Drosophila melanogaster: one gene and its partner. The protein of the gene in region 1 interacts with the protein of each later gene in a pairwise test. Each region holds a gene or a part of one and is shown in the gene's direction. Other genes may lie near its edges.

What was found.
Region 2: the proteins of heca (region 1) and unk interact in binary tests that used the Drosophila melanogaster proteins (3 or more experiments, as listed by UniProt).

Annotation. Positions count from the first base shown.
Region 1 is NT_033777.3:30,271,160-30,285,692, forward strand, and holds the start of heca (headcase), read left to right. Parts: upstream 1-6,772; 5' UTR 6,773-7,784; coding exon 7,785-9,088; intron 9,089-14,533. UniProt on the Drosophila melanogaster protein: Required for imaginal cell differentiation, may be involved in hormonal responsiveness during metamorphosis. Involved in an inhibitory signaling mechanism to determine the number of cells that will form unicellular sprouts in the trachea.
Region 2 is NT_033777.3:23,147,707-23,165,168, reverse strand, and holds unk (unkempt), read left to right. Parts: upstream 1-7,306; 5' UTR 7,307-7,325; coding exon 7,326-7,390; intron 7,391-7,458; coding exon 7,459-7,668; intron 7,669-8,675; coding exon 8,676-9,095; intron 9,096-9,157; coding exon 9,158-9,360; intron 9,361-9,619; coding exon 9,620-9,729; intron 9,730-9,928; coding exon 9,929-10,037; intron 10,038-10,198; coding exon 10,199-10,324; intron 10,325-10,394; coding exon 10,395-10,975; intron 10,976-11,031; coding exon 11,032-11,229; 3' UTR 11,230-13,077; downstream 13,078-17,462. Other genes in the region: CG13829 (uncharacterized protein), read left to right, coding at 3,851-3,961, 4,014-4,538; VhaAC39-2 (vacuolar H[+] ATPase AC39 subunit 2), read left to right, coding at 5,930-6,615, 6,683-7,049. UniProt on the Drosophila melanogaster protein: Essential for late larval/early pupal development.

The DNA of each region.
Region 1 (14,533 bases):
ACACGCGCAAAAATGTTTGCTGAAGGGTGGGGAGAGGAGCCAGGGATTGGGTGAGGGAGAGGCGGGGAGCCGACAAGGGGAGTTGCCAATTGCCTGTGGTGGTGTTTTTGTACGGAGCTTGCGCAGAGAGAGGAACAGAAAGAGAGAGCGAAGGAGCGGGAGAGCAGGAGGAGTGGGGACTGTGTGCTAGAGGGAGAAAGATGATGGAGTTGGTCTGGCCATCCTTCTCGCTCGCTCCTTGGAGATATTACTGCCTTTTGTTGTTGCCCCCTTCCAGAAGAATGGGAAAGTGAGGGAGCAGGAGTGGGAGTGGGCAACTCCCTCCCTGTCCGCCAACGGAGTTTCCAGGGTTTCCAGGATTGAGGTTTATTTATGGCCCACGGCTTTTTGGCCAGCATTTTGATACCACGTGTTTTGTTGGAGTTGCCAGCCAAAAAAAAAAAACAAGGAGTTTGGGCCAACAGGAAAACATTGGCATAGATAATGGCCAAGCGAAAGAGGAAGAGCGTGAGAGGAGGAGCACCGAATAGGACGGGGAGAGTGAACAGGACAACAGTTGCTAAAAAAAGGAAAACAAATGACTCATTTGTTCCTGCCAATTCAAAAGGGAGTGCAAAACAAAATGGTCAGAAGGGAAAATCAATTGAATGGAGCATAAAGGAATAGCAGTTAAAAATATAGTGATATGGGGGGAAGTTGTATAGTCGTGTTTTATAATTCATTTGTTATCGAATTGTATAGATAGTTGGCATTTATGGCAATGCTCATGTTATAATAAAGATATAAAAGTTAGAAAACGCATCCTCACAATTTGTTTTAATTCCACTCTTCTTGTGAAATCTTATTCACTTAATTAAATATGAATACGACCTCATTAAAGGTCTTTGTACTAAAATCAAGATAGAAGTTTAAATGCATTTTTTCAAATAACGAATGCCAAATAGTGTTTTTTTTTTGGTAAACAGAGTTGTTGACAACTGGGACTTTATGTAGACAAACCAGCCCCCAAAGTTTTCGCATAAAAATATGTACAAACCTTTGCGCAATATCCCCCATTCGATATTTCTTTTCCCTGCGAAATAAGAGAAAACAAGAGAAATGTCATTCAATTTCGATACATAGAATGCTGTCACAAAAGCCCCAAGTCCCAAACACGTTTTGGGAATTACATAAGCGAATCTTCGAAGCAGAAAGGGATCCCGGGGGAGGGGGAAGAAGATGACGGTAAGAGTGAAGAGGTGGACTTTTGCGGGACAGGATTATGGGTCGAAAACAGGAAAGCAGGCAAAACAAAAACCGGAAGAACAGGAAAAAGTGGGCGAAATGTCAAAAAGTGGGCAGCACAGATGAGAATAGCGAAAATTCAAAGGGGGGAGGGGCGAATATGAGGCCTGTTCTACTCTTCTGCCCACTCAAGTCTAACTCCGCCGCTTCTTCTGTTTCAAACATCGGAATACACTAAAAATATGCCATAACAATCGTACTTTTCATCATTAAATTCAAACCATCAAAAGGGAATAGGATACAAATTAAAGAATTTTAGTGATGAGTGGAATTTAATCTTCAATAAATCGAAGTCTTCTTCTATAAATACCACCAAATCTCAATAATAATCCTGTTGCTTTCAGTGTAGGAGTTGCAGAAGAAGAAGAGCGAGGGAAGCAATTCGAGAATCTGCTTTCAAGGTCTGTTCTGCAGTGGCAGAATCGCGAGAGAGAGAGGATTGCAGAAGAGAGTGCATAGAAGTTGAATAGCTCGTGGGGAGAGGGACGTGGCGCGGGGTGGGGCACACAAGCACCTTGCACTTGAAAACCGAAGTGCGGGCAGCGCTGCTGCCGTCGACGCCGTCGATGCATTTGTTGTTGTTCTAATGCGCGCGCAACTCTCGCTTCTCTCTCTCTCTTACGCTCCTTCTCATCCACGCTCCTTCGCGGTTGCGGTTGTTGCAACTCCAACTCGAACTGCGGCAGCGACGGCGACTGCGACTACGGCAGCGACTGCGTTTCATTTTCGGCATGTTGCAAATTTCGTTTTCATGCAGCAAATTTCAATTTCATGTTATAAAATCGCTCGATTTGCACTGGTATTAGTGGATCAGCGCGTGTGTGTGTGTGTGTGTGTATTTTTAGCTCTCTGTCAATTTGCCACTTCCTTTTCTTTTTTTTCGCTGCCGGGGTCTGCTTCTTCGCCTCTTCTTCCGCTCTCTTCGCAAATTGATGTTGAAGGTCAGCGTGTTAGCGAAAATTGCATTATATTTGCATGTGTTTCTGTGTTTGGCTTATCAAACTTGGTCACATCGCAATTTCAGGGAGTTTTCGGTCAGTCTGGCAAACAAAAAGTTTGCCAAACTCAAATAAGAAAAACGAGTGGCATGAGATCATCGGTATACAAACGCTCAAACGTGCACAGACATGTGCAAGCCATACAAAATATAATTTTCTAAGGATAAAAACCAAAAGTAAAGCCAAAAAATTACTTTATTTTCAAAGAAACATTGTTAAATTTCAACTTTTTCTTTAAACCGCACTAAGAACTTTGTTTATAATGTGTTTTTAATTTAAAGAGCTGTTTTACAAATAATCGTTAATCTAGATATTTTTAAACTTATTTTTTCCTTAAATTCCTTTCATAATCATGAGAAATGGCGAATTCAAATAGTTTAGGCACTGCGGACGCCATTTGTTAAATTTTTTCATTTTCCTTTTTAGCACTTACTTTTCCGACTTCATTTTCCAGTTTACCTGTTCGTTTTTACCTGGTGAAAACATTTGTTTGGTCTAGAGTGGGCGGAGTCTCTCATTCTACTGACGAATTCAGAGCTGAAATTTATGGAATCTTCTTTGCGGAGCACCCTGTATGTTTATTACCCATACATGTCTGTAGTTGTGTGTACCAGCATAAAAAATAACCCCGAAAATGCTGAACCGAAAAGTGCGTGCGCCTCTTCATCCGCCTCTACTCCTTCCTCTTTTCTGGCTCTTCTCTTTTTACCACCCCCTACCGTTATCCTTGTGGTTGCTGCCACAAAGGACAAATGAAATTTCAGCTCGAATATGCCGTCTCGCTCACTTTCACTTGGCGTCACGGAGAAAGATTCACAAAAGGAGGATTCAGGATAAAGTACAAAGTGGGAGGGAACGTAGAAACCCCCTACTCCCCGAAAATGAACTCGAAAACAAATGGAACTGCCCTTAGGAATGGCACCAAACAAATAAAACATATTTGGTATATATCATTTGACTAAAAGCATTTTTGATATTTATTATATTTGATATGTATATGCCATATATACTCCTTGAAGTGCTTTCATACATTCATGATCATTCCTATAAAGCTAAATTTGATAGTTTAGGACTAACCTTCACTCATTATGTTAAAAATTGATTTAATGAGTATAGAAACGGAACTAATACCTTAAATTAGGCTTCTAAGTATGTATTTGTTACTTTCTTTACCCATAAACTTTATTTCATAGATATCAAGAAAACTCTTGAAATATTTTCCAACTACATACTTTGTATGTAGTTTCCTTGGTTGACATAATGGTTTCAATCCGATTGGAGTGTAGCACATCCGTTCGTTAAGTGGGAATATGTATGTCTATAGGGCGAATGCTGACTTCATTTCGCTTATGTAAGCAGAGCTGCGTGAATCAGACCCACATTGAAGCCCCCAGCCGCCCAAAAGAGGCGCAAAAAGGGACGCAGCCGGAGTTCTGGACCCTTCTGCTGCTTGCCTAACGAATCCACCATCATCTGCATCCGTCGACAAGTGGCAACAAAATGGAGTTTGGGTTATTTTTGGCAACGAAACGAAATTACGACACCCTCCGTCGAGTGAAAAACACGACTCTCTCCGCCGTTTTGTCTCTTTTTATGGCTATATATTTGGCATGTATTATGTTTACCGCTATGTACGAAGTTTGAACGGTTTGAGGTTGAGTCGGGTTGCCATGCCAGTTGAATTTCAAACCCTATTTTGGGTTTCAAAGTTGCTTCCGATTGGATAAACGCGGTAGTATGAGTAATTACAAATAATGCTGCTCTGCCAGAGGAGCGGAGTGATGAAGGAGGGTTTGGATGGATGGAGGAGTACGGGTGGGTGTCGAACACATCTGCCCAAAACACCCTCGGGACTTTTGAAGCGAAGGAACGGCGAAAAACACAAGGAAAGGCCTGCACAAATGGATGGCTATGGCTAAAACGTGGGAGGGAGGAGGTAGGGAATTCGCGTTGGGTTTGCCTATCCATCCGAACGAGTATCTTGCAGATACTCTTACGCCACCGCGAAGTTCCTCCTTCGAAGAAACCGCTTTCACACCCTGGTTAGAAGCCAAACAGGAAGCGAAGAAACACGCAGAAAGTTGCAAAGAACACACACACAGGCATCACTTTAATATTTGAAGTTATGGGACATAAATAAGCAGAAGTTTACCCATTAAAATGGCTTAGAGATCGGAACTTAGAGGCAGTAGCCTAATATAGAAATAATTATGAAATTTCATTTCATTTCATACATAGGTTCATACCTAATTCCTAATTTAAAAACATAACTTAACGACCTGGCAACTCTTTTTTCGGCCCCCAGGGTTGCAGTCCTGCATTGCCATTAATTATGCAAATTAAACTTGATGCGTGTCGCCGAAGAATTATGAGCTCAGCTTTTGCCCGCGGCTTCAGACTCTCTCCTCTTCTCTTCTCCCTTTTCGCTTTGAACACATGCCATCTTCTTCTTCTTATTATTATTATTTTTTCGTTATGCATTGGTCATTAAAATTAGGTCAGAGTCGAAGAGAACACAAAGCGAAATCCTTGAGAATTATAAAGCGGCGATGACAACAACAACAAACTAGTTCGCCCCTCCTTTGTTCTTTTACCCTCTCCACCGACGATCCTTTAGCTAGAACAACAAACAACCTATACATACATAATTACATACATGCATACCTAAATATACTCGTACGTACGATCCTATTACGCAATGGCTGCCGATCTGCCTACCTGACTGACTTAATTATTATATCAGAACCCTCTGGTTCTCTCCCTCCTGCTCGCTCTTCTTCTACCCGGCAGGTCAAAATCGAGAGAAAAAAATGGAAACTGCGCAGTTTGACTCGAAAATAAGTGGAATTGGACCTTGACTTTGCACCGCAGTTACCAAAAGAATAGAACCCCGGATCCTGAGATCCTGAGTCCTATAAGAAAACCCCATCTGGTTGCGAGATCCCTTCCCTTTACCACTTTTCGTTCTACACGTGCCTGTTTTTTGCCATTTCTACCGCTTCTTCTTATTCGTTTTCGCATACTTTTTTTTTTTGCAACACAGCGGGAATTTTTATATGTGTGTATGTACATATATACACAAAGGCGAGGATACAATAAAAAGGCTCTACGTTTGAAAGCTTATTTGGGTTTTGGTGGCAACTTTAATACCCTACAGTCAAAACACAAATAAGTAGTCATAATACAAAAGTTACCTGCGATATTCGTAATCTTAGGACTAATATCAACAATTTAACTATTACAATTATTCATACATATGTACATACTTGTTTCAATTGAAAGCAGTAATAGGTCTGCGTATTCAAGTTTTAATTGGTTGTTTTAATTCAAGGTAGGGTATCTTCAACTCTTTTTCGTTCAATGTTTTAATTCTCTTCCTTTTTGTCTCTGCCACTTTTATTGCCAGCACTCGCATGCATTCATTGTATTTGTATTTTTGTGCAAATGTGCTTGCGAATATATAGGGGATTATATAGATACGTTTGTATGTAAATATATAACAGCAATCGAAGCGTGCGACAGAGAACGGCAGTTCCGACAGAGGGAGATGGAGACATCGAACGGCATTTCCACTTCCACTGGAATTAAAAGATTAGCCACGGAAAGCAAAAGTGCGCTGCAAGTTCGAGTTCCAGCGACTCGGCAACCCTGTTTTCATGTTGTTTACTTTGCCGGTTTCTGGCACAAACACATATGCACGCTCCATGCATGTGGAACAGAGCCAACGCGCTCGACGTTCGCATGGCAACTGCAGTCGAACATGTTGGAGGGGAAACGACCGGCTTCGAACTTGATTCGAACCAGCTTCGAGCCGCAACGAAAGTGAATTTTGGCGAATCATCGAGAGCTCCTAATTGTAAATGAAATGGATGTAAAATCTAAAAATTCTAATAAATAATTAAATTTAGATTATTTAATAATAATCGAATTCATTTAATTTTGGAACCAAAACATAGGGAGAAATATATATTCCTTTTTGGCTATAAAGTTAGAAACATGTTATTATTATTCTTATTAGTTTAAAGAAAATACGGCTTGATAGAAACATTTTCTATGGAAATGAAGCTTATTAACAAAAGTCTAAACTCCTACATATATTTTTAAGACATTTAATCTAATCAAGTATGTAACTGCTATCAAAAGTTCCGTTGTAAAGTGGGAAAATGTACCAAATTCTGGCCTACAGTGGAAAATTCTAGTGAATTAGACACTTTTTTTGTAGCCCCTTCCGCAATTTTCCCCCACCATTTCTCATTTTAGCGCCAAAAATCTGTTCAGTTTTCCACCGAATGAAAAGCGAGCGGTTGGCGGCGGTGGTGGAAAGTGAAAACCAGCCAACCACCACCCACCAACCCCGAAAAACGGAATGAAGAAGTGCGGAAAATCGGAGTGGAGGAAAACTCCAACTTCGCTGCCAATGCCAAGCAGCGACGCCGGCAGCGATGTTCGACGCGCGATGTTCGAACGCGGCGAGCAAGCACAGACCAAAAACAGTTTGAATTTCGCTTTCGATCTGGTTGGTTGTGTTTTTTGGCTTCTCTCTGCGTGCGCCGCTCGTGGTGGGAAAAAACGGAAAACAGGAGAACTAGCAAAACCGAATAAATCGAAGAGGAACACTCCAGTTTACAATTGTCCTGCGACTAAAAACCAATCGGAAATTTACACTATCCTCTAATCCTTTTTGTTTGCCGGCAAAAAAATAAGAGGCGCAAAGAAATAAACGCAGAAAGCGAAGCAAAATGTGAAAAATTGCCGAACATGGCGCCGCGTGTGTGAATGAGAGCGAACGATCGTGTGAGAGGGAGATAGGGACGAAGCGAAGATAAACAATAAAAAAAAAACAATTTTTGATACTTAAAGTTCTACAACAACAATAAACTCAGCTCAGGTACAACAACAAAACAGAAAATTACGCAAAACACAACAGACTGCATTGACGGGAATTTTTCGAAGTATTTTTGATACACACAGCAAGGAGGTGTACAATTTTTAAAGCAATAAGTGAAAGCAATTACCCATCAAGTTAAAAATAATACCAATCTCGGTAGAAACCCACTCGGAAAATCCAACTGAAAACAATTGAAAAAGGCAACCGAAAAGTTAAAACCTAAACAGACTAAATCGCTAAAATAACAAGCATTTACTATACACAAAAAAATTAAATTCCGTATAAAATCAGACTTTTGTCTGCAAAATTTCTAAAAATTTACAAAAACCCACTAAAATTCACGAAAACTCACTGGATCTGCCAAAACCATCAGTTGAAATATATTCTGGAATCGGTTCAAAAATAAATAAATATATGCCAGCAGCATTTATATAGACCGCAAATCGCACCATAAAATCGCGAAAAAATCAACAAGCAATATTTTGAAATTCATAATCGTTGGCAAAATGCTGATTCGAAATAGAGATTGAGGATTCTCGAGGACAGCCAACCCAGCCAACCAACCAAGTTTTTCGCCGCAACGAGTGCATATTAAGAGGAAAAAACACAAATTTATGGCTCCGCGTCGCAACAGCAACATCAGCAGCAGCGGCAACAGCACCCAGCAGCAGCACCAGCAACAGTTGCAGCAGCAGCACCAGACGCAGCAGCATCAACTGCTGCAGTTCTACGCGGAGAACGTGAATTCTTCAGGCGTCCTAATGGCGCCCATGCAGGGAACCGGTGGCGTTGGCGGCGTTGGCGGCGGGGGCATGGTCCACTGCTGCCTGCCCAGCGGAGACTGTCGCAAACTGGACACCCTGATACACCTGAACGAGCTCTCCCTGGCGGACTGCATCCGTGTGCTGTGCAACAACGAGAACTGCAGCGCAGGCCAGTACATGCATCGCGAGTGCTTCGAGTGGTGGGAGGCGAGCGTGCTGCAGGCACTGAAGGCCAACGGTCGTGCTCGATCCTGGTCGGAGCGGCAGCGTCTGCAGCACCTGTGGACCAAGAAGGGCTACGAGCTGGTCCAGAAGGCCTGCAGCTGCAAGTGCGGCAGGGGACAATTGCGCAAGGACCTCGACTGGGTGCCGCCGAGCAGCCAGGGCGTCATATACCTCAACGGGTCTGGCAACCGGCCCACTCTGGCCAATGGCAGCCTCAGCGAGGACGACGACAAGAAGAAGGCCAAGAAGAAGAGGAACCGCAACAACAACAACAACAACGGCGGCGGCGGTGGTGGTGGTGCTGGTGTCAATGGCAACACCAAAACCCCCTTGAGCAACAACAACGGCAACAGCTACGCCGGACTCACGCCCAATCCCAATGTGGGCGTCATAGGGTCGGGTTTGCCCCACAACAACGGCAACACCGCCAGCAATGGCAGCAGTGGCAACAACGGCTCCTCCGGCGTTCTGCAGACCAGTGCGCTGGCCACTTTCAGCAACATCCTCAATACGAACAATGTCCTCGGCCTGGACCTGCGCGCCAGGGCTGGCAGCCTATCCTCCAGTGGAGCTGGCAGTGGATCCACCTCGCCCTCGGACTCCCAGTCCAGTGGCGAGATATCCGTGTCGCCGGTGCAGCAATTGCTGCCACAGCAGCAGCAGCAACAGCAGCAGTCGCTGCTGATCCAGCCTCTGGGTCCAGCTTTCGGCAGCAACCTTTTGCAAAATGGATTGGGCTTGTCCAAGAATCTGCTGATTGCTCCCCAGCAGCAGCAGCAGCAGCAGCTGCAACAACAACAGCAGCAGCAGAATAACCTGCCTGCTTTGGCCAATATCAGCAACTTCAAGCCATTGGCCAGCTACGAGCAGCAGCAACTTGTGCAGCAGCAGAAGAACAAGGAGGTCGAACTCTATTCCGATCGAGTGCGGTAAGTACAAGATATCATCATGATAACCATATAGATTATAAGGAGCTATAGTCTTATTGTCTAGAATTTCATCTTAAATACTTGGTTAACTTGTTTAACAAAGCGAAATTTGTGTGGCGAAATTCCCCAGCATGTGGTTGGGGTACATAAGCGTTTCAATATTTATTCACAAAACTTTTATCAATTACACTGAACGACAAGGGGGGCCTTAATATTTCGAATTTATTTACTGCAGTTGTTATAAGTTTTGTTTAGCTTTTCCTTTGATAAAACTTCCAGTGGCTTCAGGTGTTATCAACAAACATGCCAAATAGATACCAGATTGATACTCTCGTTCCTTTATCGTGTTGCACAGTGTTATCAACAATTGAGGCGTTTGTTTGCCCGTTTTTCGTTCGTTTGCCGGTTCCATAGATTATATAACCTTGACGACTGAACAGCTGCGAAATACAGACAATATTTGCAGAAATATTAAATAAAATGCGCTGGTTTATTCGAGAAATTTGCGAATATTTTCCCCTTAAGGAAGTCGACGATTTGCATCAACTCAGAGGGAATGAATAAAATATTATAATCTTTTGTTTTGTTGCTTTCGGTGGGTCAAGGCTTTCTTTCTTTTATTCTGCTGTAGTTCTTCACTCTTCATTGGCATTCTTTTTACTCATAAATCATAGGCAATGAAAAATTATTGAAATTTATATGCTGCCATATAGCAGCGGACATTTATCGTATGGTATGTTTCCCAGATGTGTTCTTGTTCTTATTTATTTTGTGCCTACTTTTAATATTTCCGTTTCCCAGAGCAGCGAATACTATTATTTATTTCATTGCGATCAAAAAAAAAAAAAAATGCGAATAGGAGAACAACACGAAGAGGAATTAGATCGCTTTTTGTGTTTTTTTTTTTTTTAATGTTGTTGTTTTGAACGCGATCTTCAGGTTTTAAGAATCCCAACCCCTCACCCTCTGTCCATCTCTTTCGCGCGGCAGCTTGCCCTCTCTTTCCAAGCTGAGAACTTTGTTTTGCCTTCTATGGCATAATTCCATTCATTCTTCTGGATTTCGCTCTCTATCTCACTCTCTGTTTTGCACACTTTTCAAGGCCACACTTTTTTTTTTGCATGTCTCTTTTTTTTAACCTAAAATGCGGAATTGCTGTTTTAGCGATAAACAGTAAAATCTGCTTTTTTATAAAAGCTTTTAAGTAAAAGCTATATTTAGTTCGGCCGATCCTTTTCTATTTAAACTATATTAGGGTATCCAAGTTTCGGTGTTCTCTCAATTTCAAATGCAATTTCTTGCCTCTTGCATTCTTTTTTGGTTCCTGCTTATCAGCATTTTTGTGATGATTTGCGTTTAATTCAAAAATAAACGTCCATAAAATTGTTTATCGCCTCTCGTTTTTTTGTATTTCCATTTCTCATTTCTTGTTTTGTTTGCATTTACTGGCGTTTATTTTTAGCGCCACACGCGGCCCATTTTTATTTTATTTAATTTTTGTTGTTGCTGCCATGATAAACAAACTTTGCTGATTCAAAAAGGTGAGCAAAAAAAAATAAGAAAAGAGGAAAGCCAAAAGTTCTTGCCTTTCCCTTTAAATTTGCCGTCTCTGTTTAATGAATGAATGTGTTCGGCTCGTCCCCTCTCTTTCTTACGCTCTTTTAACTTGTTTTGTCTGCCGGCATATTTGTGTTTTCCTCTTTTTTTTTTGTATTTAGCGTCCAATGTCAAGGTTAAGACACATTTTATGTATTCATTTTCGGTGGGTGAATGAGGCGGAAGTCTGTTTGTTTTTGTGCCTCTTCCAGTTTCCCGTCTTTTTTGCAGAAAGCTCTTCCTGCTTGCCTCTCTCTCTCTCTCTATCTCTCATTCTGTCTTTCGTTAGCTGTCTGCAAATACTTTGCCATTCGTAGGCCCAAAACTCTCACGTGGGCGTAGCATTCCACCCCCCTGATTACTTGGATTTTCATCCAATCTGCAAAAAATGCCGCAATACTTTCCCGAAAGTTCGAAAACGCAACAGCAGCGCGCACAACTGCAAATAAATTGCGAAAGGCACGCCGGGAATAGAATAACTACAACAATTTGTGCAACTACAGACTATAAAAACAAAGTAGCAACAAAGTCGGCGTCCTGCATTTGCATACCAAACGCAACGGGTGTCTAAAGGGTGTGACTAGCTGGCTGGCAATTTGAGATGTAACGGAGTAAATTGAGATACATTTAGTTGCTATTTTTAGATACATACATATGTTACCATATCGCAGATACAATGTGATTCTATCAACTAGGTGAAATCATCATCACTAATTATCATAACATAGGAAGGCAGAGGTTCATATTTCTCAGACTGTATCATCAGAACTTAGGGTATTCCGATAGTCGTGTCACCTTAAACCCTCTCTCTATAGTTTTGTTTTGAAAGCCTCAGACAATATGCGCCAATCCCCCTGTTATAAGTGCGGTGATATGGTGTGAAAAACAAAACTATAGCGAAAATTAACAACTTTCGCACGACTTTTGTTGTTCTGACTAAGGCTGCGAGAGTGAGACAGCTGGATGCCGGAAGATTTGAAGGAGCGAGAAAGAGGTAGCGATATAGCCATATCGGTGCATAGTTTATCTGTGGGCCCCGGGGTTTCTGTATTCCGTAGTAAATATGAGTGAATTATAGTCATGAGGCAGAGCGAAAATTTAATTTTAAATTCTGTGTTTGTTTTTCTCGATAGTTCACCCCCCCCCCCCCTCTCGTTTCCATACTCCCCACAGCTGAGTACTAATTGAGCACGTTCCAAAAACTGTCGTCTAGACTTAAAGCATAAAGTTGTTCTGCACTGTAAAATTTTTATTAACGCGGAACCCCATTACACATCCATATCGATGACGTTTGTTTTTCTGTTGTTTTCTGCTGATTGGTGGGCCCCGCGTATTGGAATAGGTTCTGTCTGATTTCTGAATATACTTTTCTATATAGATATGTAAGTAACATACACTGTGTGAGGTTAGGTTTCACTTTTCGCTCGGCGTTGATAAATAAACAAAAGACGACGTCAGCCGAGCATGAAATGAAATGGTGCGACTTGGATCTCGATGGCTATATGTGGGCACATGGCTATGTGGGCACATGTAGGAGGTTACGGGGTTACAAAAGGCACGGGGAAAAATCACTTGGGGTTTTTGGGGATCGTTTAATGGGAGTAGCTTAGAAAGATTATAATAGCAAAGTATACAACATAAAGTTATGGTTCTAAGATGGAAATAAACATTTTCGTAAAGTGTAGTTAATGTATTATATTTACATAGGGGATCCATAAAAGAACGGCGCGGGGAAGGGGCGGCTCAGCAATTAACGACCTTTTTTTTTTTTTGGCAGTCAAATTGAGGAAACATTAAAAGTCGCGCCACATCAGGCACTTTTTGTTCGGCAAAGCTTTGTTTCGGACACGCTGAGTAGTTCCATCGCAACGGGTGACCACTGTGGCAGACTCCCCCACAGAATTCGTAACCGCAACCAAATCTGCAAAACCATTTGCAAATTAAAGCGCATAACGATGTGTGGGCAGATAGAAGAGAAATGTAGGAGAAATGGCGAAGGGTGTGGGGGTGGGTTTGTATGAAAAAGCCACCTAGGGAAAAGGAGTTGTGCAAAAAAGAGTGGGTGGGGGTAGAGAGAACCGGGGAACTACACACCTTTTGTTGAATATCAAATCAAGTATGCATTGCTTACTCGTTTTCCACTTGGTCCTCCGCCCTCACAACCGCAAAAGCTATTAATGAAATCTTTGCCGAAACGACACGCACACTGAAACTTAAATAAACATATGCGCAACACAGGGTAGCGCCTGCACAGTGGTTGCAAACAGATTGGTCACGATATTCATAAATTGATTATATTTAAAATTGAGTATTATAGCTTGGCTGATGTTGAATCAAAATCAGAAAAGTAAATAAAATTCATATGTTTTTAAATTCCATATATTCCTTAAACATACTAGTAGATGTTTTAATATCCACTGTAACTGGTGCATTGCAGCAGTCCGCACACCCACACCTTCTATGGGCGCCCGTCTATCGAACGGCGCATGACTCTCCGGCGGAAAGTTCCCTCGACGTCATTATTGTCGTATTTTCATTGCCAACAGACAATGCCAGGGCAACTCCATCTCCGCCTCTTCCTTTTCGCTCGTTTTTCCCTGGAACCTCCTGCTGTACTTGCCACCCACATCCGTAGCCACATCCATCTGTATGTGGCGCACATGTGTGTGGCTCCATCCGCAGGCTTTTTGCCAACTTTAAAGGCTTCGTTGGCTCAGCAGTTTCCGTCCCTCTCCGCTGCGTTCGCTCTTTCACTCACTCTGTTATGCAGAACTTAAATCTACACGGGAAAATATCGGTGAACCCAAGTTGAAGAAGAAAATTCTGAAGCAATTCACTTCTTCGAAATATTGAAATGAAGGCTATGAAACTTTAAGTCCGTATGTACTATAACTAGTTAAATGCTAAAATTAGTTTTAGATTTGCGTTGAAGTTTGTTAACATGTGATAATCACTCATGTTACCTTTGCCGTTATCTCAGGAACCAGACTCCTTCGTTCAGTGCACTGCTTGCTGCACTGCTTCCCCATTTCAGCCAGCATGATGTCGTCTGTTTGTTCATAAGCCAAGCTTTGGGCGTGTGTGAGTGTTTATCTGTCTGCCTTTTGAATGTGTGTGTGTGTGTGTGTGCTTTTAGGCTTTTGTGTTGGGCCATTCAGCGAAATGAGAAAGAGAACCCCAACTCCTTCTCCCCCCCCGCACTCCGTCGCACTCCACTCGTTGCCACTGCAGGCTGAAATTGCAATCAATATTGTTGTTGTTGTCGAGCAGCTGCCAGACACAAAAATAAAACGCAACGTGCAAAAAATTGCAAAAAGAAGAGTGGAAACAGTAAAAACGAGCCTGGCGAAATGAAAGAGCAAGGAGGATGAAAGGCATGGTAGGGAGTGGGCGGAGGGGGCGTGGATGAACAAGTTGAAAAGCGAAAAGAAAAACAGAAAACAGAACAGGAACGGAGCACAAAACATGAAATGTTTGTGCAAATGAAACAAAACTGTTGTCCTGCTCCTCCTTCTCCCCTCTCACTCGCGCCTTATCTGTTGGTCTCTTTCGGCCCCAGCTGGAGTTCTGATTGGAACGCTCCTGCTGCAGTTGGGATCCTATCGGAGTACACTGTAGGAAAACAATGGCAATGTTTTTCATTTGGGCAATAAAACATAGTTTATTCCAACTTAATACATATTGTTCTTTGGATATGGAAATACTTTGGAAATACTTTGAATATTTTTGCATTGAACTCAAAGTACTTTTCTCCCAGTGCTGTTATGCATTTGTGTGGGAATGTTTGTTTTGTTTCCTATTTGATATCCATTAAAACGATTCCACATTCGGCGTCTGTCTGCTGCCCCT
Region 2 (17,462 bases), 7.1 Mb from region 1:
CTACACTAAGCATATACATTATGCTTCGCCTTGAAGTAGGCAATAGATTTTGACAATAAGTTATCTATATTTAGTATTAAGAAATTATTGACTATAAATGAAATAAAGTTTATAAAGTTACAAATTTCTACAATTGAAGACAAAGTATTGTGTTCGATTACCAATTTCCGTCGAAGGTACTTTCGATTATTACCCTTGATTCTTCGAATCTCAAGTCCTTTCGACTGATATCAGCTGATAGTAGCTGATATTGTGTGACGTTAATGGCCAGTCCCTATATGTCGACAAACTGTGCCTAATTAGCTGCCAATGGGCGCCAGACCGGCCAAATCCCAAGTCACCTAATCCGAAACTTATCTGGAGTGTGCAATTTCCCCTTGTGACTTAGCGGTCACTTTAATGTTAATTAGCCATCAAGTGGTGGGGGCATTAAGATCTTAATGCACTTTTATGATGTGAAAATCTACTATAGCTGACTTTGAAATGTTAGTGGCACAAGGCGCCCAGTTCGTTCAGAGTTCCATTCACGAATGAATATAATCAACTGAAATTGTAGGATAAACTCAGGAAATGTTTAAACGATTATGACATCGCTGATGTTTTAGCTTATGGCAAAACTTCTGATGGCTTCCCTGTCACGCTGGTCAACAAAGCTATCCATAAATTCTGTCTCGCGACCGTAGTGGGGTTTATTCGCTGTCACAATCCTATCAGTATCTGGTAGCTCTATCTGGAGCTACAGTATCTGTATCTGCACCTTCACCTGTATCTGTATCTGTTTTCGAATCTGGATCTTGGCCGGCGCATGACTCCTGTTGACTCAGCGCTACTTTCGCTGACAGATTCGTGCGCAAATATTAGCAACCAGTGCGGCCACAAATTTACGACAGTTGACATTGACTTATCTGCTCGAAAAGGGGTTCCATATATGTAGCTACACTATAGCTACTAGGTGGGGTGGGGTCCATCTGTGACTTGGGTTAAGCTGGATGTGTTTGGTCAGGTCTAGACATTAGACTGCGACAGTTTTGAAGTGGTTTATCTAAAATGGGGTTCTATTAGCCAGGAAAAGGCAATATTAGATCATTATACAAGGAGCACGTATCTACCATGAAAACCTAATCAAAACATATATTTAAATAATTTAGAAATAAATAGAAAAATGAAAGTGACTACCATATTCACAAAGTGAAGATAATATAACAGCTTTGCTAGCTTAATGGCTAGCCATTCGTTATTCGTTGGTATCTTTAATTAAGTTAGTTTCTCTTATTTATGACCGTATTTACTTGATGTGCTCAGGCATCCCTCGTAGGAAGTTGAACCCGGCAGAAATTTCTGCCATCTATTGTCTTCTGCAGCTCATTAACACACACTCATTAGGATAGCTATCCTGTTGTTTTACCCCACTTTGACCCCGGACGGAGAACAATGGCAATCAAAGTGGGGACAGGCAATAATCCATCACATGTCACCAAAGTTATTTCGAGCTCGTCTGTTGACCGGCATTTTCTAGGGAAAATCGCAAGATTTTCCAGGGTCAGGAGCAGAGGTCAGCAAATAGTTTCAGATTCGCATTCGGTTCAAAGTTGAGTGCTCTCAGTGAGTGGAAATAAATCTGCGTTGATTGCTCGAAGCTGATGTAACCGACCTGCCGCAACATTCGAAGGATACACCGAAGGATAACCGTGATTCGAGAGAGACAGACAGTGCGTTAAACCCACCTCGTGTCTTTGACCGCCACTCCTGGCTGATGGATGTGAATTTAAATCCACTTAAATCGCTCAACATCCTTTGCATCGCCCATTCGAACAATTCCCTTGTATGCAAATCGGATAATGGCTAATGGCAGCACCAACAACTGAATTACAATATAAACAGTACGAGCAGCATTTAAAAGATTTTGCCGAGGCACTTTCAATAAAAGTGCCCCGTGGCCAGCGACTTATAATTGAGAATCGAAGGTCACAAAAGTATAGAATTCTCTAGCTGTATCCTGGAAACGCATAAAGGGGGCAAACTTTCACCAGCTGCACTCAAAGGCAACCAATAAAACTTGGTCAACTCTCAAGTGACGGAAAACGTGTTTGTCAAGGTTAAAGCGAGTCCGATTGCTCCTCGAACAACCAGCGAATAGGGGAAACTGCAGTCAAGGTCAGGCAGGACGGGATGGGTTGAATTGGCCGATCCGGTGCTCTCCACTGGTCTGGTTGGGGTTGGATGGCCAGGCAAACAAACGGACGCCAACGGGAAGCGGATGCCCAGACAAGGCAATTACCATAATTGCCGTACACACATGTGCGTACAAGAAGCAAGCTGCAAGCCGATGATATGCATGCATACATAAGTACAGCAGCTTTGGTTCGGTTGGTTGAAGGACACTCTTCGAAATGGAACCGGAAGGATTGGAATTGGGATTGGGATTGGGCGAGTGGAATGCCCCGCGGGAGTTGAATTGCAAATAGTTTCGCCATTAGTTGTCGTGCAATTTGCATGACCAGCATACCCACACTAATGAGCTATCCGAGACCCATTTGTCAACCTGTCGAAGTGGTTGTGGTATATTGACCCGATTCTCATACCGAACTTGGCATAATTCTCATTATATTCATTATTTGCATTATTTTCACGCCATTCCCGCTGTTCACACAGCTGTTGGCCATTTGGATGGGGGCCAGTTCTCTGGCAGACCATAAAGATTGGCTAGAACAAGAACCAAAGCTGGCTATTTTCGGATGCCGCGTTAGCCCTTGGCAACGGCATCAAAGGCCAAACTGATCGAATAACCAAAACACAAATATGCCGTCTCTTTATCGCTCGAAATTATTTATAGAGCAGCTGCTTTTGAGTGATAACAGAGGCTGGTCTAAAATTTGCATGATTCACAGACATAACAGTTGAAAAATATTGGATAAGCGTATTCATAAAATTCCCATTCTATTGCTTTATTTTTAGCCAGGAAGTCTGCTCTGCATTCAAATCAATGGGCCAACGTTGCGTATGAGTAACGTGCGTTCAAAGTTAGATAAGATTATTAATTTAAAGCGAATGTAACGTCAAAGATTTATGGTAATCTATGTTTGTTAAATCTTTATGAGCCCCAAATGCTTTTCTTGTGAATAACTGAGAAATAAATGGAATGTTAATCTTTCACAATAATTTTGGCCTTCAAATTTGCTAATTTCTCTAAAAAATACACCCAACGAAATGCGCAATATAATTGTGAAAAATTGACAACCGAATCGTGAATGTCAATGAAAATTCCAACGATTGATTTGTAGTATTCTAAATTTATGAATTGCTGGCAAATTAATTTCGCTAGGGAAAAAACCGATCCCCTTGCAGTCAGCTGACCCACAAATAATCTTTTGCTATAAATCGAGGGCGCGGTTTTTAAGTCAAGTGTTGCTATAAAAATCACGACGTTGATTGGAGGGCTTTATCGGTCAAGATAGCTCTACCCGAATTCCACCGTCTGGCTAATTACACATATCTAATCTGACGAAGTTCTTTTTCTGGCTACTGGCTACTGGTGTGATTAGGTTAAGTTTAATTACTATATAGTCATGTCGCCCCAGTCATGCGACCAGATATTTCTGCCTCGCATGGTGGCAATCTTTATGTTCAGCAAAAAATTTTATGTTTGCTGATCTCTTAATTGCCCAAAATGACTTGGGCTTGTTTTTGTATGCCAAGTTTTATGGGCATCATATTTATTTGCTAATAAAATGATTTAAGTTTATTGAACTAAAATATGTGTGCTATTATTAGACGACTATCTGAGAATCGTAGACAATAATTTAAGTAGGCATTGAGTTGCATATCCTAAGTTAAATATAATATAGACAAAATGATTGCCAAGCTGCGCAAGATTTATCCCAGTGGAAAGGTGGTTAGCCATTCCCTCGCTCCCTGCTCCACAGCGGATCTGAACAATGCTGAACTTGTTTCCAATGTCAAGGTAAGCTAATCAAAATCCTTTCGGTATCCAAGTCCGCTAAATTCCCTTCCAGAAAAGGCGAGCCGAATATCTCGTCGAACGAATGCAGCGACTGCTGCTCTTTCTGACCGTCTTCCTTCTGTTTCCCGTGGTGATCTTCGTCATCTTCAAGTTCTTGATTATGGAGCCGCTCTACGGAAACAGCGATGACAATGTGGGCATTGGATCCGGCGTAGCCACGGTAATTGTGATGCATGTCCTGGTCACGGGCTATATCCTGCGCCTGATCTTCCTTCAAGAGATTTCGAGCATGGAGAAGCTGGAGTGGGAAGTTCTGATGCCACCAAACACCCAAATTCATGGATCCGTGTTCATTGTCCTGCTGCTGATGTCCTACTGTTCCCTAATAATTGGCTTTCCCATAGCCACCTTTTTTGCCCTGAAATTTGTGGTGCTCAAGAGCTATGCCCATATCAATGCCGATATTATTTCGACCATTTGCACCGTAGTTGCAGTTCATGCAGCAGTTGGCTTTTACATCTACCGAGCCATCTATGCAAAGAGTGTGACGGCCAAAAGCGCCAAAATATCTCTGTAAAATAATTGTATCTCCACCTTTCGACTATCTTTGATATGCCAATACATCACAATACTTTCTTCTGTATATATCTTGAACACTTCCTGCTTTCATCATGTGGCTGACATATTTTTCGTGAAAATTGTATTCGTATTCGCCAATGCGAAAAAATGCTACCCACGCGATGATTTCTGTTTTGGTTGAAAGCAATATGAGTTGGAAGCGCATTTCAGCCGTCACTTGTCCATCCCGCGATTGGGACTTCTTGACGGCCACATGTCCAGGGATTTGTGTTTGTGGGACAAAGAACGAATGCAGCCTAAGTTTTTTCCGCATGGAAAGTTTACGGTAGTGACATGGCCAATGCCAACTTTAAACTGCACAACGTGATCTTATTTATTGCCCATATCGACCGATTTTTGTCAGCTGCCATGACTTTGTCTAAATATCTTTAAAGTCTTTGACGACATGGAAAGGCAACAGGTGAAACTCGTGATTTAAGTACAATACTTACCATTTTTTTTTTTTTTTTGAGCACATTCACAACTCCAGAAGGCAGAATTTCTTTGGTGACAGTTCCATTTTTCATCTGCCAGTAGGAATTAGTTCATTTTGATGTTAATGCAACGTGAGAAGGTGACACCCTCTTGTGATGGGCAATTAAATGCTTCGGTAGCAATAATAAATGTCGTTTTATTGCCACATTTATGCGATGCACACGCGGCGACACTAACAAGGCAAAGAAATATCAAAAACAAAGGCCGGGCGAGAAATTCACATGTTTATTTGTTCTAGTTGAATGAACGTGTAACAACTTGCAGTTAGTATGCTATTGGCCCGAGCGCAGCTAGTTGACTGAGTAAACAAACAGAGTTGGCAGCAAGTAAACAAATGGCCCAGAGCAACAGGTAATTTCCGTACAGCATCCTCCAGGCGCATGTGCGGAAATTGCGTTAGAATGGGCCGATAAATAGCTATCTGAAATTCAAATAGCAAGCTTTAACTAGGTGCATTTTCTTATAACTAAAATAATCTAGTTGGATGCACTTTAAAACGAACAAACCAAACAAATAATATCTTTTCAAATTTAAAGTTAAAATTTAAAAAACCGTTAGAGCGCTGCCATATTGTCAAAAAGGATAAACGAATGGCAGCCTTGCACCATCGGTAGCGCCATCTAGCGTGCATCGGTAGATACCGCCACCGAATATTTAAATATTATATATAAATATATTTGTAGCTTAATAAATATTATTTTAGCATCTAGAATCCTTAGTATTTATATCAGAATCAGTTCATCCGAGAAATACCTATCACCGCATGTTCCATCTATCAATTTCTGCTTTCACTTAAAAGTTGCCTGGCGTGTGAATTCCTACTAATAGATAGCTCGAAAATAATAATAAGTCAAAATGTCGATGATATTCAACACGGAGTATGGCTACCTGGAGGCCCTAACGCGCGGATTCAAGAACGGCATGCTAAAGCACTCGGACTATCTAAATCTGACCCAGTGTGAATCCCTCGAGGACGTAATGATCAGCATCCAGGGCACGGATTACGGTCTCATCTTTGGTGGCGAACAATCAGCGCCGTCCGTTGAGGTGATCGAAAGATGCCTTAGGGATCGTCTGCTGCAGCAATACTACTACATACGCAGTCATTCGACGGAGCCGCTGACCACCTTTATGGAGTTCATACGATATCCGTTCATGATCGATAATGTGGCGCTTCTGGTCGCTGGCCTAAACAATCACCGATCCATGAAGCGTCTGCTAAGAATGTGTCATCCGCTGGGCGAATTCGATCAACTGGGCGCCATCGAAGTGGCCTCGAATTCTGCGGAGCTCTTCGACGCCGTTCTAATTGACACGCCCATCGCTCGGTTTGTGCCACGCGATTTGCCCATGGAGTCGTTGCGTTACCTCGACGTGGAGATTGTGCGTGCCCATCTGTATCGTGCTTATTTGGAGAAATTCTACGCCTATTGCAGCCAACTGGGCGGCAATACCGCCAACGTGATGACCAATCTATTGTCCTTCGAGGCGGATCGTCGGACCATTACAATAGCTGTGAACGCTATTGGCAGTGATATCATGTAAGATATCTGTGTTGCTATGAAATTCTTCATATTATACTCATAATGCCCACCTTCCAACACTCAGACCGAAGGAGCGTCTAAAGATGTTCCCCACCTGTGGCTACCTGCCCAAAATAGCCTTGGCCTCCATGTCCACTTTAAATGATACGGATAAAATAAGGGATGTTTGCAATGTGTTCGATGGCTATGGCAAAATGTTTGACAATTTGGAGCGCGACTCGGACGGCATGATTACGCTGGAGGACCGCTTTCTCATGATGGAGGCCAAGAAGAATGTGCAGACCTTCCTGCAGCAGTACCATTTCGGGATCTTCTACTCGTTCATTAAACTTAAACAGTTGGAGGTACGCAATATCGTCTGGATTAGCGAATGCATAGCGCAGCGACAGACGGACAGAATCAACGCCTTCATTCCCATACCCTTGGACTAGAAACGCTTTTGCTTTCCTTCTTCGAAATGTTTTCCCTTTGAAATGTGTGTTATAATATATAGGCGTTGTTATAAATAAAACACATGCATAACAATTTCGCATTAATTTTGGCGCCAAATTTGTTTCGTTTGCGTCCCGGCTAACCACCCATCAACTGGGGTGTGTGTATTTGCTAACCAATCGATATGGACGATGCCGACAAAAATTATCGATATCAATCGACTTAAGGCCATGGATGCCCGACGCACCGATGTTTTTTGCACATCACTAACAACGATGTTGGCAAATGAAACGAACAAGCTGCTGCTTTCCTCGCAGCAGGAAAAACCAAATCACTACACGTAAATAGATGCTAACTAATGCAAACGATGGTTAATTTGACGTGCAACCTTTCCGCCAACCGTTTCAGCTACCTGAAGGAGTTCCGCGTGGAGCAGTGCCAGTCGTTTTTACAGCACAAGTGCAACCAGCATCGCCCCTTCGTCTGTTTCAATTGGCATTTTCAAAACCAGCGTCGGCGTCGTCCAGTGCGAAAACGCGATGGCACCTTCAACTACAGTGCGGATAACTATTGCACCAAATACGACGAGACCACTGGGATTTGTCCCGAGGGCGACGAGTGAGTAGAAATGTTGTGAAATTCATAGTTTCTGATGGCCCGTGAAAACGCTGGACGGGACGATTGCAGTGGCGGAGGATGGATGAGACAGCAATAGCGAACGACGTTGTATTTTTTTTGTTTCCTCTTTGCGCTCTCCTTCCTTCGCGATGTGTGTGTATCTCTTGTCTTCGTGTTTACAAACAAAAACCATAGTGTGTTTGTGTGCAGGGGGGTGTGGTGGGGGCGGTGGCAGGGGCCTGGCGTTGTCTGGAAAGCCAAAAGTGAAATTGTAAGTGCGTATGTGGGCGTGCTGCTTGCTGTATCTCTGTGCATGTGTATGTGTGTGCAGGCGAGGTCACCACCGTGCAAAAGTGAAAGTGATTCCAGCTCTAGTGGGCTAGCAAATTCTTATCAGCATCCGTTTTGTGGTGGTTGTTGCTCTCTTGTCGCATGTATACATGCACAGACGCTCGCATACACACAGGTACGCACAAACAAACACACGCACAGACGTAGGGCATCGCTACAAGTGTGTGCGTCATTGTTTTTATTGCGTTTCGCTTTTGCGTGTTTTCTTCTTCGTTTATTTTGATTTTCCCCCGGCAGCTTCGAAATGTACAGTTATTGTGGCTGGCGAGCTTTGGAGAAAAGCTCTGTGAAGTGTAAGAACGGGCTAAAAGTAAAACGCAATTACGCTTTGCGAGAGACAACAACAATGTCTGTTTTTATGACCCAGACTCGAGGTCCAACCTCTGACCCCGACCTCCATTCTATCCATTTATCGTTGTAGTCTCCTTACAGGGTACGAAGGTGGAAAGAAAGCGGTTTTAGTTTTGAAAGAGAAATTTCTTTTACTTATTAAAGAAATACCCTCAAACATGTATTAAAATGATGATTTTGCTGTAAATGTACAACTTTGTTGTTTTTTGTTACGGTTCTTTTTAATTAATGGGTATCATACAGTCCATTCACTTAGCCTCGTCGCCTGCTTTGACGTCACTAAAACTCCCTTTCTCCCCATTTAGATGCCCCTACTTACACCGCACTGCTGGCGACACCGAAAGGCGATACCATCTGCGCTACTACAAGACATGCATGTGCGTCCACGACACCGACAGCCGAGGATACTGCGTCAAGAATGGACTACACTGCGCCTTCGCCCACGGCATGCAGGACCAGCGCCCACCGGTTTATGACATCAAAGAGCTGGAGACCCTGCAGAACGCAGAGAGCACACTGGACAGCACTAATGCTTTGAATGCCCTGGACAAGGAGCGCAATTTGATGAACGAGGATCCCAAGTGGCAGGACACCAACTACGTGCTGGCCAATTACAAGACAGAGCCCTGCAAGCGCCCACCGCGCCTGTGCCGCCAAGGATACGCTTGTCCACAGTACCACAATAGCAAGGACAAACGTCGCTCGCCCAGAAAATACAAGTACAGGTAAGATTTCCCCTGAATTCATCCTAAAGTCAGTTTTAAACCGCGATATACCATTGTTTTAGGTCCACTCCTTGCCCCAATGTCAAGCACGGCGAGGAATGGGGAGAACCGGGCAACTGCGAGGCCGGCGATAACTGCCAGTACTGCCACACACGCACCGAGCAGCAGTTCCACCCGGAGATCTACAAGTCGACCAAGTGCAACGATGTCCAGCAGGCCGGATACTGTCCGCGCAGCGTCTTCTGCGCCTTTGCCCATGTGGAACGTAAGTATAGAGGATTCGATGAGCTAATATATAGGACTCAGCGTTGTGCTCCACAACCAGTTGTTGTAGGGATGTGTTTAGGGCCAAGTTATGATATTACAGTTCTAACTTAATGTTTGTCTTTTACTCGCCTCATCCATCAAACCGCAAATCTGTTTCCAACTATCACTCAAATCCTTTGAAAACACGTACATCAATCAATGTTTGCTTTGCCGCTCGGTGTTGCTTGTCCATGTAACTACTCCCAATCCAAATAAAGCATGTTCAATTGACGAGAAGACGCGGGATCACACGGTATACCTAAACGAGCTTATTTCCAATGCCTATCCTGATTTAAAAGCTCAGGATGCGTTTCAAAGGGTCGATAATGTACGTATTACCGAAGCAATAACACTCATCCAAATAACGCCATCGATTTGCATCGCCTAAACCTAAACGTACTACCACACATCGTTTGCCGCTCTAATCCAGCTAACCATCATCAACTAACTGCTTAACACTTTCGATAAGCCATTTAATCATGTGTCCTGCTCTCCTCGATTTTTTTCTTTTCGTTTTGTTCTCTTAGTTGTTGAACATTGATGGTAATAGCACCAATAAAATGTTGGTAGACGCTTTGGAAAACACAACAAATTTCAGCAAATTTTTAAGTTTCTCACGACCCCTGGACAGTCGTTGTGAGTATCCCAGAGTCCTGACATGCGTACGTCTAAGTTATACACTAGAAATCAGTTCTTCGTTTTGGTTGTGGACAAAGAATGTCAGCGCTTAGATAGCAAATGTCGTGACCCCTAGCCTAACTGAAATTCAATAATTTTTTGTCTTCACTCTTTGCAAGCAGCTTGCTCAATGGACGATCCGCGCGAGAACTCATTGTCGGCGAGTCTGGCCAATACTAGCTTATTAACACGTTCCTCGGCGCCAATTAACATTCCTAATACGACTCTAAGTAACTCAATTAACGGTAAGTAGTCATCAACGTCCTATGAGTGCCAACTAATTGCTAATGCTAATACTCCATTCCATTTGCACAGATTTTAACTCAGGTAGCTTTGCCGTCAACATTCCCAGCAGCTCGCTCACCTACAGTCCCACCAACCATGCCAATCTCTTCAACGTGGACGCCTTCAACTATGGCGGCTCAAACAAACTCAGCAATTCCCTTTCGGCCACCCAGAACGATAGCAGTCTCTTCTTTCCGTCGCGCATCATATCGCCTGGCTTTGGCGATGGCTTGTCGATTAGTCCTTCGGTAAGGATATCCGAATTGAATACCATACGCGACGACATCAACAGCAGCTCGGTGGGAAATAGTCTGTTCGAGAACACTCTCAATACGGCCAAGAATGCGTTTAGCCTTCAATCTCTGCAGTCGCAAAACAACAGCGACTTGGGTCGCATCACCAATGAGCTGCTCACGAAGAATGCTCAAATTCACAAGTTGAACGGACGTTTCGAGGACATGGCATGCAAGCTAAAGATCGCGGAGCTCCATCGGGACAAGGCCAAGCAGGAGGCGCAGGAGTGGAAGGAGCGCTATGACCTAGCACAGATACAGCTAAATTTGCCAGCAGAGCTTCGGGACTTGTCCATACAGAAATTGAAGCAATTGCAGGTTAGTCGCTTAATTAATTTCCCAATTCCATGGGTTTTAACCTGCTACCATTTTAGTCCAAGCTGCGCACCGACTTGGAGGAGGTCGACAAAGTATTATATTTAGAAAATGCCAAGAAGTGCATGAAGTGCGAGGAGAACAATCGCACGGTTACTCTGGAGCCGTGCAACCACCTGTCTATTTGCAATACATGCGCTGAATCGGTCACCGAGTGTCCCTACTGTCAGGTGCCGGTAATAACCACCCACACCTAGAACATGTTTTATCAGCAACAGGACCACAAGTGGCCCTTTGGCTGAAAATCGGATAGGGATGGGAAAGGGGATTCCGATGGGATATGAATGGATCATGGGGATCAAGACCGCGAACAGCATGACAATGTGGTACTCACAAAGCAAACTTTAGTCTTAAGCAAAACGTTGAAACTTTTGAACAGTTAGGATTTGACACATGCCTACTAATTGTGCATGTGGCAGGGAATATATAATTTATGTTTTCAATCTACTCAAAATATGCAAATTATCGTCATGAATATTAGTAATTACTAGGCACAAACTATTAATTGAATTAGCTAGCTGCTCTAAACGAATAAGTATGTAATTTTATTTTTGTTTATTTTTTCTCATATCGAATCGAATACAGGAAAAAACATTTTAAATTGATTTTGTACTATGATTTATGTAACCAACTCTTTTAATTTTGTTTAATATTCAATGTTTAGGCATACATATTTTCTAATCTACTGCACGAATTTGCAATGTCTCATTTATTTTTTTTTTAACCACATATGTATCTCTATATTTGTATTTAAATATGCTACACTTTCAGTCATATTGTACTTTTCACTAGTATTACATAAGAAATTATGAGAACTAAACAATTACAAGATGTAATTGAATGAAAGATATATAAATATATAATATATTAATTTTTCTAGACACTTTTAGCAATTGACTATTAACAAATTTATAGAAACCAACAAATTTAACAATATATTGTCGCATAGAAGAGCAGAAAACAACCACAAACAAACAAATACCACCAGTGATTTTATATAAGCCGATTTTCAAACTGTATTTTTTATGTATGTGTTTCAAACTTGTGAATGCAAACTACAACTAAAAGCCAAGACAATGGTCATAAAATCAATGTAACTGACGGGTAATCAATATTAGTCAGTACTCAGCTTTTATTTTCCTTTTTCAAATGCACAAAAGTAATTATAGACGTTGAAACGAGAAGTAACTAAAGGCGACAACGCTTTTCCTTATCGAAAGTTCATTTCATTTTGTCTTATTGAAAACCAAGTTGAATGTATTAAAACACTTTGATTTTTGTTTAGGCCTTGGTGCAGCTCGTGTAAGCCAATGCCAATTAACCAGTCACAAAATTATCAACTTACGTATATAATCTATTAGGTTACTTTGTGATTTGAATAGTGCTTTAAGTACTTACTTTGCAGATGACTTCAATTTTCATTTTACTTTCATAGTCTCAACTGGACGCTTCCAAATTAGTAAAAGCATAAAATGAATCGTCAATGTCAAAACGTAGTATTTAAGTCATATTAAATCCAGCATTTGGCTGATTGTACAAGAACGAATATGAACAGATATATATTTATGGGAAATTTGAACGCAGATTCGATGAGTGTGATGTTGAAAGCATAAACAATAAAAGTAACTCGATACAGCGAAATGAACAGAGTTTAATGAAAATGTTAACCAGAGTTAATGTAAAACCGTCTTCAAAAACCATTGTATTTTTCTGCGAATTAAAATTATCAAACGTAATCAATTGGACAATGTTGAATGAAACTGAAACGTGTTGTTAGCTAGTTGAGTTGAATTGATAAAGATGTAATCAAAATGAAACTGTTCTGGGAATGAATTGAATATGAATATGAAATCAACATAGGCATTTATTTGAAACAAAAGCAACACTATGAATATATATATACAAATGAAAAACTGAATTATATTATTACAAAGCTAACTAGGAAAGGCAGCGCAAAGGCTCTTATCTCTGTGTGTGTTTGTACTATGTTTTGTAGAAGCCAAATCAGCAAGAAATACAAATAATTAATAAATATAACAATAAACAATTGTGTGTTAACTTATAAATGCTTTAATAGTTTATGATACAAGTGTACACAAAAAAACTAAAAATCACGAGAACAAACAATGAGAAAATTGGTTTTATAATGGAGCTGTTGAGTCGCAAATCTATTGTGTGTATTACCAAACTAAACTGAAAACTGAATGCATACCTCTCTCAGAATATCACTGACTCTCATCACCGGAGACACAGTTTGAAAGATTTGCTAATTTACTTTATGAATCTCCACGAGATGTACATGGGATGTCTATCGAACTACGCGTTTTTTCAACCCCATTCCAAAACAAACCAATGCAAAGCAATTTTACAACATGTCAAGAAATCCATTTCACGCCATCTCAACTGTGAAGAATCAAACAGAAACCAGATCGAAAAGTATATGTACGTTACATACATATATATTTATAGATGACACATGTATTTTGTATACGCTACTGTAAGAGTGATTTTTATGTGATTTTGAAACTACTTGAATATGTGATCCAGAAATATATAAAAAACAAAAAAAGAACAAAAAAAAAAACGCAAAATAATATTTATATATATAAACGCAAGCTAGCGACAGCAAACAGCAATATAACAAATCAAATTGTAAACCAACTTGACTTTATGTACAACAACAACAATGACGACAAAAAATATAAAATATGTTGTACAGCTCCAGCTCCATTTAGAAAACAAAAGGCAAGAGAAGTAGGATTTTGGTAGTGGAAGAGATATGGACACACGTAGCATACTTAACAAATTGTCAAAAACAAAAAACAAAAAAACACGTAGACCAGAACAACATCAAAATCTTAAGGATACAAAAAAGAACAAGTAAATAAATGTCTAAATTATCAAATTGAATTATTAGCTAGCTTATAGGGTTCTCAGTTAAAAATTTACCAGAGGAAATACAAACGAGTAACAAAAGCAAAGGCAATTACTTCTCTAGATCTAGAACTAAGAACAAATGTTTGCTACCAATTGTTTCAACTAGTTAATTCATAATAAATTAACAAATTGTAGAAAACTGTAACTGAAGGTTTAACAAGCATAGCGTAAAAAAAAAAACAAAACATGACAACTCTGAACACCGAACAGGAATTTTAAATATGAAATCGCGGAGACCGAGCAATTTGCAACCGAAAGTACTGTCTAGTATTTTAAACTTGTCTACAACAATTATGAATATGAATGGATTTATGCAGTTTTGTGCGAACCAAGCCCACACAGACACACACAATAAGTGAAAACTCGACGAACTAAGTGGAATCAATTTAAATAATTTGTTTTTTTTTTTTATCTAGAATACTACAAATGTGTGTCAAGACCTAAATGAAATAAGCAGAATTTGAAACTTTTACTAGAAATAACCGCTGAACTAGATTCGAACAAATTCATCAGCTCTGTATAAGTTATAACTTACAACTAGCCTAGGCTATAGGAAATATGACAAATATATTAATCCATATATAGAATATCTATGAAAATTGTATGCCTAATTTGCGGTTCATGTCTCGGCTAAATCTTACTTCAGTTTTGATCAGTTCAGTTTAAGCTTACATATCTTTTCTTTATTTACCTCCGATTTTATGGAGTTGAATGATATTAATACCGATGCGCCGATACTGGTCAGATGCAATAAAGCTCTTGACTTATACAATTTCTTATCGGGGATTTATTGGCGCGGAAACGCGGTCATAGCAATCAATTTTATCACTTGCTGTATAAATTAAATTACATCCCCTGATGTTATAAAACTTAAAGACCAAAAACAATATTTGCTTAACGATGATATTTTGCGCATCATTATTTCCATTTTGTAGAGACGACTCGCTTTATTTCCTCGCCTCACCGGGCAATGTTGTGTGTTATTGCTAAAGTTATTGTCAAGAATGAATAATTAAATACGAGTATATTTAGAGAGAGACAGAATTAAGAAAATTAGTATTGTAATGTTTGAAATGACAAAAGATACAAACAAACAATAGACTCGGATTCAAAAACACCCTTCCACATTTGTAGTGAATGCAACCTTAACAAATCAATTATTGAACTAGCTATGCCCCACAGAGGATATGAATACAAATATTTGAATATTTATATATACATATTACGTATGACCTATGGCTAGCATTATCAAATTATTATCAAGCAAATTGTGTAGCAATTTAGTTATGTATTTCGAAATCGAGAACAAATGTTTGTCCAAGGCGACCACAAAAGCAACAAAAGCATCTGCCTCAATCCAAATATATACACACCTCTACATATATATATATATATTTACGAACCTAAGTGTTGGCAATAATCGAGCGGACAGCAGGAGTTTCTATATAGGCATTTGCTATGGAGAGTTACTACTATGTAAACTATGCAATTAACAAATTGATAAAAACAAATTACTATTTAAAATGAAGATTAATAAAACCGTGTTTAAAGCAACTTGCCCATCTCCGCCTTCCTTACCTAATTTGCTGATGAGAATGCCGCAATTTTTGCCCATTTTTTTTTTTGTTTTTTTATTTTTTTTTTTTTATTTGCAGTCTGCAGACAAGACAAAGCCAAGGCGCTTGGTTCCCATGCGTGATTTCAATCTGGCCCAGCCACACAGCCACAACAAAGAGCAGCAGAGAAAAGGGCAATATAAAAAGGTAAAAGGCAGCGCAACATCGGCATCAGCAGCACAAAACTCGTAAGAATTTTAAAATGCACGATAATCGTTCAGTGATAGCTAAGCAAGCCGACAATGCCCCGGCTGCCTGCCTGCCCTGCCCTTGCACTGATAAAAAAAAACCAATCAACCCATTCGATCAGCTTTTCTTCAAAAATTAGTATCTTTATTGGCGAAGATATCTTGAAATATTATTAAAATTCTTTTACATTTTATTATTTATTATTTATAAACATATTATTTTGTTAGCATCACAGCTAATCCATTCATTCTGGGTGGTCTCCCCTTACAACTTTGTTTTTTTTCAGTGCACCATCTCATCTCTGCCACTGCCACTTTAACCTGAGCCACCGAGGTCCAGGGAGCCAGTTTGAAACAAGGTAGGATGCTGCCGTTGCTGTTGCTGCGATATCGCCGCGTTCGCGCGTTAAACACAAGCGCAACAATTTTTATTCTGTCAGCGAACGCGTGCCTGTATTTGTGTGGTCCCGGCCTCAAACTGGACTGGACCGTGGCTCCATGGGCTCCTGCTGCCTGCTGCCTGCTGCCTGCCATCCTTACCATTCCTGCCACCTCCACCTCCTATCTCCTTCTCTACCTTCTGATCTTGCGTGGCGATCTCACGCGCTTGCGCCTGCGCCGAGCAGCATTGTGAGGGAGCACACTACAGTGCCAACTGGCGGGCATATCGGTGGATGTGAAGATGTGGTGACCCAACTTGGCTGGTAGCTGGCTGACTGGCTTATAAATAGGTTTTATGAGCGCAAAAGTGTTGCCATTTTTCATGCTGGCAAATTCATGCCTCCGACCCGCGCCACCATCATCATGGCCCCAACTATTTTTAGATGGACATTTACAAGGGCAGCACGGGGAGGAGATCTGCATCAGCGTCAGGCTTTCGCCTCGATCTCGATTCGTGTCCATGTTCTGCAGTGTTTCGCACGCTGCACGCTACACGCATTTCCACTCGAAACTTGTTCTCCTGCCGCTGCCATCGCTTCCCCCGCCGTGATTTGTAACACGATACATTTCGCCGCCGCCGACCGGAGGAGTAAGGGTGTATATATAGGACCTACGATCCGATCCGATCCGATCCCTGCTGCTTCTAATGCATTTTTCAGCTCTTTTGCATTGCGACTGGGTCCGAGATCAGCTCATTAGGCATTTTTAATTTGACAACGCGCGCAATTTATGTGGGAATTTCACGGCGTGTACTTTGACTCATCGAAAAGAGTCGGAACGAAACGAAACGAAAGACTTAGGCAGCGAACTTGGCGCGCCAAGCTCTGCTCAAAAATCAATTTTCAATTTGCTGCAGTTGGTCGGAATGGTTTGCGTTGGAAGGAGGGCAAAAGGGACCGGACAAGACGGAATGGGGCTCGTGTGACTACCTCTGGGCCCGGACTGACTGACTGACTGACTGCCTGCCGTCCTGCCTGCAACATCCGCAGATCAAAGCCAAGCGATGGAGTGCGCAAGGCGACCCCGAAATCGAATGGCAAGGAGACTGGCTTATTAGTGGGACAACGAAGCGATGGACACCCTTCCAAATTGTAGTTTGGAGCTTACACTAATACTAATTATAGTAATTAAAAAGGCCTAATGGAAACGAAGGCTGCTGAGCACAAAAATAGTAGTAAGCTTCATAATCAATTTAAGCATTATGTAGGTAAAGACAAAGCAACCCACTAAAGTGTGCATGGCACTTAT